Linked DNA regions of Kluyveromyces lactis. The protein of the gene in region 2 purifies or fractionates together with the protein of the main gene of each other region. This does not show direct contact. Links are inferred from orthologs where the notes say so. Each region holds a gene or a part of one and is shown on either strand. Other genes may lie near its edges.

Region 1 (7,063 bases), on a different chromosome or scaffold from region 2:
CTGTGGGTAATTAGTAACCATACAGTTCTTTTTGAACACTATCTAAGAAGAAATACAACGACACTGTCATTAATTCATCGTCTGTTCATCGTTATTATCGCATATCTCTCTTAACAGCAAGATTTCAAGGTGAAAAATACTGAGATAGCTTACATATTACATGTGATGAACATCAAAGATTATATACTGTAAACGATTCAAGACACATTTAAAGCTGCTAAGAAGTATTTCGGACTACTGAAACCATGCAGAACAAGAAGATTGTCATATTGTATGGTTCTGAGACAGGAAATGCGCAAGATTTTGCGCATATTCTTTCTCATAAGTTAAAGAGACTGCATTTCTCACATACATTGATTAAGATCGGTGATTACCATCCGAAAAGCGTTCTGCAGTGCAAGTACCTGTTTATCATCTGCTCTACGACTGGACAAGGAGAACTACCGCGTAACGCAAGAGAGAACTGTAATGGACGGGCTCAGGGGACTCTCTGGCAGTTTTTGAAGAAATCTACACTTCCTGCGGATCTTTTAGATCATGTTAACGTTGCCATGCTTGGGTTGGGTGATTCCTCGTATCCAAGATTCAACTTTGGTATCAGAAAGCTTCATGAACGTATTGTCAATCAACTTGGCGCTAGTGAGATTTTTCCACGCTTAGAAGCTGATGAGTTGGGACTTGCTGGGAGTAATAAGGATACTGGAAATGGAGTTGAATCCGTCTACTATGAATTTGAGAAAAGAATCATCGCCTACATGTTAGAGAAGTACCCCAACAGAAAGCACGATGGCAAAATGATGCCCAGAGTAGGCCTAGCCGAAGATGTTTACTTGAAACCGAGCAATATATTAGAAATATCCACTGTTAATGGATCGACAAATGATCAGCTACCTGATTCTAAGATTCAATTTGTTGGAGATGAGACAATAAGACATGGAACCGTTAAGAAAAACAACCAAATAACTGCTAAAGATCATTTTCAGGACGTTCGACAATTTGTGTTTGAAACCGAGGATCATGAAGCCTATCATCCAGGCGATACAGTTTCTTTATATCCCGAAAATTCAGACAATGACGTTGAATTATTCCTCGAAGCTCAACCTCATTGGAAGAAGGTCGCTGATGAACTTCTTACAATAACAGACCTGGAAAATTGTGATCGGTTCAGAGATGGTGGTGTTGTGAAACCACTTACTCTAAGAACCTTGTTAAAATATCATTTTGATATCGTCAGTATACCTAGGCAGAGCTTCTTCATGAAAACTTGGACTTTTGCAAATGCTCACGAAGATAGACCAACCGATCAAGAGCTATTAGAACAACAGAGGGATAAACTAAGACAGTTCGGGTATGGACAAGACCTACAGGACTTGTATGATTATTGCAATAGACCAAGAAGATCAGTATTAGAGGTTATACAGGATTTTGAATTCTTAAAACTTCCATGGGAGTTCGCATTAGATTATCTACCCATGATAAAGCCCAGATTTTATTCCATCTCAAGTGCACCATCTGATCCTAATGTTGAACTAACTATTGCTATTGTTCGTTATAAGACTTTGTTAAGAAAGGTACGGAAAGGACTATGCACGAACTACCTACTTACATTAACCGAAAACGATACAGTTCGTTATAAACTTCAAAATAATCATTTACTTCATGAAGATATTATTGGCAAACCTATCATCATGACTTCTCCGGGGGTAGGTCTCGCACCAATGAAGTGCTTGATCGAGTCTAATTTATTCAAGGATCAGTACTTATTTTTTGGTAACAGAATGAAGGATAAGGACTTTTTATATGAAGATACGTTATCTATGTGGAAGAAAGAAGGTAAAATTAATTTATTCACTTGTTTTTCGCGGGATCCCATAAATTCTCCTCATGCTAAGTATGTTCAAGATCAGTTGTGGAATCAATCTAGTCTAATAGCAGACCTAATTTTGAAAAAATCTGCCATAGTATATATTTGTGGATCCTCCGGTAAAATGCCAGTTCAGGTTAGGTTGACTATAGTTGAGATCCTGAAAAAACATGGAAACTTCGAAAACGCAGAAGAAGCCGAGCATTATCTAAAAGAAATGGAAAGAACTGACAGGTATATGCAAGAGACATGGTAGTTCAGTCAAGATTGAAAAAAGCGTCAACTTCATACCACACGGTATTTCTTGGAAACTTAAAGGGGTTCTTTGAATCATCTCCAACCACATGCTTTTCCAAGGCCGAGATTCTACCCATTGCCCATTCCCTATCTTTCAATAATTCGTAATTAGACGTTGAGTTTCTAAGAACGTATTTGATATCAGTATTTGTCGCAGTGAAAATTGCCCATACAACATGCTTCTTGGCCGAATCTTGGGTGTTAACATTGAATGTATCCGGTCTGCCATTAGCGTTGAGTGCAGGATTCCTGTTCGCTTTACTTAATGGAATATTTTCTGTGATAGAAGCAGAGCTTCCGTTAAGAATGCTAGCTGCAATATCAGACTTGACAACATTTGGACGTTGCATAACAGACTGTGTAGATGAGTTTAAATCAATGGATGAAAATGAAGAATTTAGCGACGATATTGAAGAATTTAATAGCAATTCCTGATCGTTGATTGGTAAAAAAAGAGCAAGATCTCCCGGTTGGAAGTTATATATTGTAATTTTGTCTCTAGCACTTTTCTGCAAAAGGAGTTTTTTATTCTTGTTCTCTTTCCTAAGCTTTTTCGCCAAACTTTCGATATCATTGAACCTGCGGATCACTGACGTTTCGAACAATTGGTTACCAAATAGTTTTTCTATGTAGGTAATGAAATTTTCATGAGGTTTGTAGTCAATCTGATCCTTTATAGATTCGAAAGTACTCTTTATTTCTTGTGCAATTACACTTTTTGCCATGGAACTATTCATATCAGCCAAACTTGAATCCAGATCTTTTCTTAAACCTTTGACGCGAACAATTTGAAAGTTTCCATCTTGATCTTTGGAAAGTAACAACCCGATACTCGCCAAAATGAAAATACTACCTTGGAAAACATCATATAAAGTTTTTTCCAATTGCTTATTAAAGTTGATAAACTCTGCATCAATTGTTTTGCTTTTTGATATTTGCAATTGGTTAAGATCTTTTTTAAGACTTTCAACTTCTTCTTGCAAGGAAGCCCGTTCCTGTTCTGCTTGAACTTCTTGGGTTGCCATATTGACAAGAAGATCTTCTTTCATTTTGTTTAAATCCTCGGATTTCCGTCGGGATTCTTCAGATTCCCTTACAAGTTCCTCATTTTGCTCAAAGAGGGATCCTAAATGCTTCTTGAAATTCTCCGAACGAGAATTCATTTCAGAATAGAAGTTTTCGCGTTCAATCAACAACGTTGATAATTCTTTGTTTAAATTTGTCATGGATTCTCTGTAAGCATTTTTCTCGACCTCCATATGGGAAAGTTGACTTTTAAGTGTTGAAAGTTCAGTTTCAAGGGTCTTGGTTAATTCAGAGTATTTGCTTATATCCTTTTGCAGGTTTTGAAATTCCTCGAAGGTTTTATTTGATTCGTGTTGTTGTTTGGAACTTGGGAGATCGAATGTTGAACTTTGCTGTAACTTTGTGCTCACGGTACTATTGCGGAACATTTGGACCATTGCAGTTTCCTTATTCAGAATGCCAGCTGGCCATGAGTCGTACTGATGGAACTGTGCATCAAGTAATAAATGTTCTAGCTTTTTGATACGAGCCTTGTATCCTTCAATGATAAGCTCCGAGTCCTTCGAGAGCGCGTAATCTGTAGGTAAATGCAAGCCTGTCAGCTCCGCCTGCGAGACTTTTGACTTAAGTAAATTAATTGTAGGTTCACCTAAGTTCAATGAAGCAAGTTGATTAATATAATCTTTAATCTGAGACAATGTCACCTGTTTATGATCACTTATGGACGGAATGTATACTGATGATGGTAGCAAACTATCAACATCTAGAAATCGAGTTATCCATTGGAAATCTTTGTACCAAGAGTTTCTTTGTCGTACTTCGTCATCCAAAAGATGCTGCAATGAAGATTCATGTTGTTGTCGAAGTTGAGAGTAACGGTCTGTCCAGAGCTGCTCTCTGTATAACTCAATCAAATACAATCCATAACACATAGGCAAATCCAATACTTGAGATAATTTCAGTTCTTCATTCTTCAAAAACTTCATATTGGTCTTAACGTCTTTAGTTAACACCGACTTCACCATTATTACGCTCATCTGCGATTTTGCAACGGAAAGGTACAACTGTTGCAACTTCTGCTGGACAGTAGCTTTTGTATCTAAATTCGTGGAAGCTTTATTGAACATTGCTTGCGAAATTGTTTGTAATTTGGGGACATGTACACTTTTGAATGTTTCAAACTTCTCTTTTGAAGCATCTTTAGAAGCCTCTTCTTTATATTGATTTGATACAAGCTCAATCTCTGTAGCCATTTCTTTAAATCGTTCAACCATTTGGTTGTCCATATCATCAGAACTGACAACTGAATTTTTTTTCACATCATCTAAATCTGAGATTAACTGTGTTCTCTGCTGGTAGCATTCATCAATACTTTTCTTTAACTCCTTTAACTTCGCATTTAGTTCACGATCCAGACGGTGAATGGAATCCTCGATCTCTGTTAGCTCGCTATAATTGAAAAATGATGATAATAACTGATTAGAAACTTTAATATTGCCGAGAATATTATCATAAAAGGAATGCCATTGATTTGAGGCACCATCTTCGTGAAGCTTGTTAAGAAAATCAACGTTGCCATTATACAGCACCTCCACTTCATAGCAGTAGTTTTTCAAATACTCAAGCATAACAGTACCACACTCTAATAACCGTTGAACGTCTTGATAAGTTTCTTTTATAACGTCCTGGAAAAATTCAACGTCTGATTGCAAAGCCTTCAACCACCCTAAATTCCGTAGAATGACATTTTTATCCAACTGTAACGAATCGCTTATCGGCGATGGCAAAGGTTTGAAAAGTTGGAACCTTGGCTTTGGGGAAAACTCGATCTCCTCATTGAATATTCCACGGTCAAATACGTATATTTCTTCCAATCCTTCTTGTTGCAGCTTTCTGGAATCCCATCCTGCTTTCTTCAATATCATTCCATAAGGTAACAATAGAAGTATGTCATCGAGCGGTATCTGGAAAGTATCACTTGCAAACTGTTTCAAATCTAAGAAACTAGGGAAATAAACATTAGATAATTGGTGTGAAACTCCTGATGTAGCACATATCAACTTGCATGGCGGCATTATTAATAAAATTATCAGATTGTAACCTTAAGACTTTGGAAAGAAATAAAGGGACAATGTCGATTTAATGATGATGAAATGGGGGGTGTTAGCTCACAGGATTCTATATCATGAGTATTCTTTAAATGCTGAGATATATCTAATCTGGAGTACTAAAGCCGTAAGCAACAAGTGGAATAAGAGCCGATAAACGTCAGGGGACTGAAAAACTATGTAACAGGTTTTCTCACCTATAAAACTTACCGGGGGGTCCATATAATCTTTTTTCGAATCAGTTTGGTGAAGCAAGAGCACGTGACTGATATGCTTTTATTATAAAAATTTGGTTTTAAACCTCCAGATGATGAGATAAACAGTTTTAAGTAAAGCTTTTTATATTCGCTAGCTTCGGCAGCATCTACTCTCATTGATATAACTAATTAAAAATTAATAAGAAAGTATACTGCAGATAAACTAAGCAAAGGATGGTCGAAATAAGGTACACACGATTCGATATCAGTAATGACATGGAGTTTTCCACCATCAAGAAATTGATCGATGAGGATCTCAGTGAGCCATATTCGATATACGTGTACAGATTTTTCCTAAACCAATGGCCGAACCTAACGTATTTGGCATGGGCAGAAGGATCGGGTAAGCCCATAGGATGTATAGTATGCAAGAGCGATACTCATAATGGAGTGCGGTTAAGAGGATACATTGGCATGTTAGCAGTGGAGAAACAATATAGAGGCCGTGGGATAGCGAAAAAACTAATTACCTTAGCTATAGATACTATGATTGATGAAAAATGTGACGAGATTATGTTGGAGACTGAATGCAGCAATGCAGCTGCTTTGCATTTATACGAGAATATGGGCTTCATCAGAATGAAGAGATTATTCCGGTATTATTTGAACCAGGGAGATGCGTTTAAACTCATTTTACCGATTACAGAGAAAAGTTGTGTGAGAAGCACATTCCTGGGGATGGATTCCTTTCCTACCGACACCATACTCTAAAGTAAATTGAATTGATTTTATATCAGTAATTGTCATTTTAATACACACACAATATATATATATATATAGCATTGCGAAAAGAGATTTCATTCCTCTTCATCGAACTTTGGAGCCAAATAGAATTGCAAATTACCGCTTGAGATATCGAATTGGAAAAGGGCTGGCGCTTCTTCCGATAATTTTATAGTGATTGTATCTGATAGAGAGGACCCCTTAATGATGTCGTTTAAATATTTAGCACCGAACCTTAAATCTACTGGTTTTTCTATGGTAACTTTAATTGAACTTTCAGGATGATCCAAATCGGTGAAAGGTTTCACAACAATGGACCCACTTCCGATATCACCTTCTGCGGCGAATTTGATGGTATCCTTAGTGACTAAGATGTTAATAGAATCACTCAATTGACTTAAGTCACGTACGGTCTTCGCGAAATCAGCAGATGGCATTGTAATATAGGATTCATATTTCATATCAGAGATCTCCAAGAAATCTGTTTCGATTTCCATCAATTTTAAAGAGTATTCACTGACACGGTCTCTTTTTGTATCTTCGAATAAGATTAGAATAGAATCTGGAGAATCTTCAGCGATAAGCGTTAGATTGTCCGAATTGTTACCACAACGAAGAATCTTACTCAAGTTCGTCAAATCGCAACCTAGCACGACATTTCTGTCCGCTCTAAACTCTTCAAATGCTTCTACATTGATGGAAAGAGAGACAAGGAGGACACGAGAGTCATCGACGGCTTGTGCAGCGATACCCTTTTCTGAACAATTGAAGTTAATCAATTGGACACA
Region 2 (5,190 bases):
ATTATCTATTGGCAACTCTCGTAATATCATATATATATAAAAGAGATCAAATGTAAGTAACTCTATTCGTCTAGCTAACTTTGAAGCAAGTAGTACTGTAGGCAGATAGGTCCATGTTCTACATTGCATCGTTCTGTCTCATCACATGCAAGTGGGAACTTCAAGTTTCTACTGAGTTAAATAGTGAAAAAAACTAAACAACCATGCATGGAAACTACCTACACTGGAAAGATCGAATTAGAAATGTAATTACAACAACGAGCTGAGAGTTCGCTGTGGGCAGATTCATTGAAGAGACTCGTTCTGAAATATGTTATTAAAGCGAATAAACTACCTACCAGTACGAAATGCGGGCGTACCTTGTCAGTTTGTCAAAAGACTCTGTTCCAATCATAATGAGGGCCCACAAGCTGTCGATAGTGCAGCCACCACTGCACATGAGGTATCGACCAAACAGGAGTTATACATAACAGATCCAATATCACCTGGTTCAATCTTTTTCTTGCCTAATGGTACCAAAATCTTCAATAAGTTGGTTAGTTTTATGAAGCTTCAACAGCAGAATAAATACGGATTCCAGGAGGTGGTTACTCCATTGATTTATAGAAAAACCTTATGGGAGCAATCTGGACACTGGGAAAATTACAAGGATGATATGTTTAGGGTTGAGGGCAATGACGTTTCTAAGGAAGAATATGGTTTGAAACCGATGAATTGTCCCGGGCATTGTGTAGTTTTTAAAAGATTCGACAGATCCTACAACGAATTGCCATTGAGGTTCTCAGATTTCTCACCATTGCATAGGAACGAGGCATCTGGTGCTTTATCGGGTCTAACAAGAGTCAGAAAGTTTCATCAAGATGACGGACATATCTTTTGTACACCTGATCAAGTCCGTCAAGAGATTCAAAAATGTTTGGAGCTGGTGGATATGTGTTATACAAAAGTGTTCCCAATATCGGGTGATTCAAAGCAGGCAGCGTACTCATTGACCCTCTCTACTCGTCCTGAGAAGTACGTTGGCGATATTGAAGTATGGGATCATGCTGAAGATGTATTAAAGGATACTTTGCAATCGTGGGGGCAACCATGGACAACCAATGAAGGAGATGGTGCCTTCTACGGTCCTAAGATTGACATTTTAGTCAATGATCATACAGGCAAATCACATCAAGTCGCCACTATTCAATTAGATTTTCAATTGCCAGAAAGATTCGATTTACAATTCAAGGACAAGGATAATAGTTACAAGAGACCTATCATGATTCATAGGGCTGTTTTCGGTTCGGTGGAAAGATTCATGGCCATTTTAATTGATTCAAGCAAAGGTAAATGGCCGTTTTGGTTGAATCCAAACCAATGTATGGTCATCCCAGTGAAGACTGAAGATGAGAAGATAATGGAATTGGCTTTCAAGACAGTCAACTCATTACGTGGTGAAAATAGTGATCCAAAAAGCCCAATTCCACTCAACAGCTTCCATTTCTCTGTTGATATGGATGCAAGAGATGAATCTGTAAGTAAAAGAATTAGAGAAGCCATCAAGAAGCATTATTCTTATATTATAATGATTGGTGACAAAGAAGTTGAAGCAGGCAAGGTGGCGATTAGAACCAGGGAGTCGAAGAAAGTGGATTTACTAACTATCGATGATGTCTTTGAAAGGTTCGTCGATCTTGAGAAAAATTATAAATGATACCTTGCAATTTTTGAACCACAGAAAGTAATGTTAACCATAACGATGTAAAAGATAATTTATACCTGTAAATATGTATACTTATGTATCAATAATAACACAATACCGTCAATTCGGTACATTATGTATGCTATATTCGAAACTATACATCGATTCCATATCGTCGATATAACCTGGCCAGATGTTTTCGGGAAGATAGTCACCATTTTCAAGTAAAAATTGCTGGCGTTGGTCCAAGTCAGCATCACTCAGTGCCTGTAGTTTCTCCTGACATTCCTTTAATATTTTCTCCATTTGTAACGCAGTGGCTTTCCGTCTGTCTCTTTCTCGTAGAAGGTTTTTATACCCTAATTTGAACTTATCGTAAAACTCACAGAGTTGTTGCACTTGTTCAATCTTTTTTATGCAAGATTCCTTATAAACGAATACTAAATTAGCAATCTTTTGGAAGATAGATAAGTATTCCTCACATTTTTCTAACTCTGTCACAATCTTGGAAGCCAGCAGATGGAATCCACCAATTTTGTCCATTATTTCACTTATTGTTTCATTGACTTTCTTTGAGAAAGCTTTCACTTCAAGTCCCGTTTCGAATACTAATTCCCTTATATTTTCTAACTGTGTATCGTCTTTCTTTACAATCTGGAAAAGTTCCTTCAAATCTGGTAGTGGAATCTGCTGTTCCTTCAATATCGTGCATTTGTCGAAATGATCAGTGATTGATCTCAAGAAATCGGCAAGTTCATTCTCAAATTCGTTCAATTCAGTGACATAATCACTTTCCAACAATTTGAATAGATTATTTTTGCTATCCCTGCTGAAATGTGAATCAAAGTAAGTTCTGAGTTTTTTCAACTTTACAGCCACTAGTTGGTTTTCTATTCGATCTTTTATCGATTTGTAGTGTTGTCGTATGTTTGTCACTTGTTGTTTTATAATAGGAATCTCATCGATTTTTTGTTGTAGTATGTCTACGTGATCCATGCATATGAAATCTGAAAGGCTACTGTGATCGTCAGTCAAGTCGTATTTTGTACCCTGCAAGATCTTCATCTTTGTTGTTATCTCGTTTTGCCAATAACTCACGTCATTGACTATCTCGACTAAAACCAGCTTTGACCATTCATTGTCAATCAACTCTGTAGAAATACATTTCTCGAGCATGATATTCTTGAAGAACTCAACCTGGTTCACCAAACAATTAAGTATAAATTTAAGTTTAAATCTGGACTTTTGAGAGCTGTCCATTTCAGTTCGCACTTTAGAGAGGATTTTTAATGATTCTTCACATTCGACTTGAGCTTCCACAAGCTGGTTTCTCGCCTTATTCCACAATTTATCTATCTCATCACTGGGTATAGTAGTTGCAGCATCACTCATTTCTTGTAGACGCAGTTCAGATCAACCGAAAGATCTTCATCTCTTCAACGTTTCCAATTTGAAACCCTTAAACGGTCAATTTCACTTCGAAGACTGAACTTCAAACCTTTAAATCTTTTCAAAGTATGAATAAATACCTATTAATCGGAGTAAAGATTGAAAGGAGTATCAGTCACTCCAAGTCAGCTATTACTACTCCAGTGATTCAGTATAGATGTCAGAACATATCAGTGACGATGATCAGTTCAAAAGAAGAAAGATCAGTATGACAATGAATAGTATGGTATTTACCGATCCATATGGATATAGCGATGACAATGAAGAACAAAAAGAAGAAGAAGACTATGAACCGGTACGACAAGCCAACTCCAATGATGGATTGAAAAGCGACCAGATGTTAAAGACCTATGGTATGGGTGCCAAGCTTTTATCAAAAATGGGTTACAAACAAGGTGAAGGTTTAGGACGAGATGGGAAAGGTATAGTGAACCCAATCGAAACAGTCACTCGTCCTAAAGGTGTCGGATTAGGGATGTTAAGTGCAGTACATGATAGAGATGACTCCAACTATAGTAATACTTCAGCATCATCAGATGAAAGTTCAAATAAAAAGAAAACAGTGGAGTTTAAGACTCGTCGTGCCACCCAGCTTGAGAAATTGATTCAAAATATAAGTCTCCTTGCGGAATTAAAAATAGAACTACCTGATACGGTGACAAGAACAATCAATGGTTCTGAATTACATGAAGAAGAGATTTCCTCTTTGAATGAAATTGCTAATAAGCTTCTGCAGCTTCATTCGGACATAGATAGAATACAAGTTGGCTTGGAAAAAGCTCAACTAGATGACGAGCGCAAAGTACACCAAGAGGAAAGGCTACAAAGTGTTTTAGAAAAAGTCAAGGAAAAACAACTTTCGCAACCAAGTCTTGAAGATCAGATTACTGAATGCCTAGAAATAAATGACGATGACATACTTGATAAGCTCTGTACCATGTTCTTGCTCAAAGAGCTTAATCGTGGAATTAATACGGCAGATATGCAGGTCGAAAAGTTGAACCATTTGAGGGCAGCAATAAGGTTTCTTTCATATAGAATGGAATCTGGATATATTTTGAACGAAACACAAAGCAGCATTTATAGGTTGGTGTATCAACCCTTATGTTATTGGTTAGATTCAAATACCGGATATTCGAGGATGCTACGTCAAATAACCGTTCAGTATTTACCTATTATTGACTTTATTAGCTGCAGGGAACACTTCCTTTCCCGCTACATTATGCCGGCTCTCGAAATACAACTTTCTCCTCAATTTCTGTCAGATGAATTCATGGTGACATACGGCGAGTTGCATCTCATTTTGGGAGAAAGGGATTTAAAGTCATTAAAAGCACTTATCCTGCTGGAGTTCGAGCAGTTTTTGAAAAATTGGGAACCTTCAATGACTGTTAACCCTCAAAACGTTATTCTCTTGAAGGAGGCAGTGGGTGACTCCAAGTTTTATGAATTAGTCAACAGGTATTGGCTTTCATCTTTCGCTGATTACTTCGATTCACACTTTCACCTGATTGACGAATTTACCGATGCAGAGAATGAAATTTACATTTCAGCTATTATTGATGTGTTGAAAGAATATAATGATTTCTTCGATTTGCCAACCAGGAATAAAGTATATAAGGTCATTAACAACTCGCTATTAAAGACCTTATTCCAATGGTTTGTGTTTAAGAGCAGCACCTTCCGTTATGAAGCTTCTTCATGGCTAAAATACATGATTAATAGAATTTACACTGCATCTTCATTAGATAATGTAGAAGAAGTGAAGAAACTTCTTGACTTTGTCGATCATCCGTCAACACTTTCGGACCATGACGAACGGCTTTCCTTGAAAAGTTTAATTGAAAGCACTGGCCAGTCGGAATCCAGGTTCAACGCTTTTAACAATACACCCATGACCAAAATTTCTACCACCTTTAAAACTGTTGTAGAAACTTTTTGTCATGATCATGGATTATCCTTCAGAAAAACTGATAATGATACTGCCTCAATTAATATATTTGGCAAAGAGAAGGTAGCTCCGGTATTCACTGTGAGTAAATATAACAATAAAAGAG

Evidence for each region.
Region 1: the proteins of ATG17 (region 2) and ATG11 purify together in Saccharomyces cerevisiae (affinity purification with mass spectrometry; 4 studies listed by BioGRID, with this or other methods). This does not show direct contact. The link is inferred for Kluyveromyces lactis from reciprocal best matches to the Saccharomyces cerevisiae genes ATG17 and ATG11.

The regions. Positions count from the first base shown.
Region 1 is NC_006038.1:1,057,057-1,064,119, reverse strand, and holds ATG11 (autophagy protein ATG11), read right to left. Parts: upstream 5,263-7,063; coding exon 2,122-5,262; downstream 1-2,121. Other genes in the region: TAH18 (NAPDH-dependent diflavin reductase), read left to right, coding at 246-2,120; peptide alpha-N-acetyltransferase MAK3, read left to right, coding at 5,727-6,263; POL30 (proliferating cell nuclear antigen), read right to left, coding at 6,350-7,063. UniProt on the Saccharomyces cerevisiae protein: Involved in cytoplasm to vacuole transport (Cvt), pexophagy, mitophagy and nucleophagy. Recruits mitochondria for their selective degradation via autophagy (mitophagy) during starvation, through its interaction with ATG32.
Region 2 is NC_006040.1:231,267-236,456, reverse strand, and holds ATG17 (protein kinase regulatory subunit ATG17), read right to left. Parts: upstream 3,077-5,190; coding exon 1,805-3,076; downstream 1-1,804. Other genes in the region: threonine--tRNA ligase MST1, read left to right, coding at 311-1,696; mRNA splicing protein SPP382, read left to right, coding at 3,291-5,190. UniProt on the Saccharomyces cerevisiae protein: Autophagy-specific protein that functions with ATG13, ATG29, and CIS1/ATG31 in response to autophagy-inducing signals as a scaffold to recruit other ATG proteins to organize pre-autophagosomal structure (PAS) formation.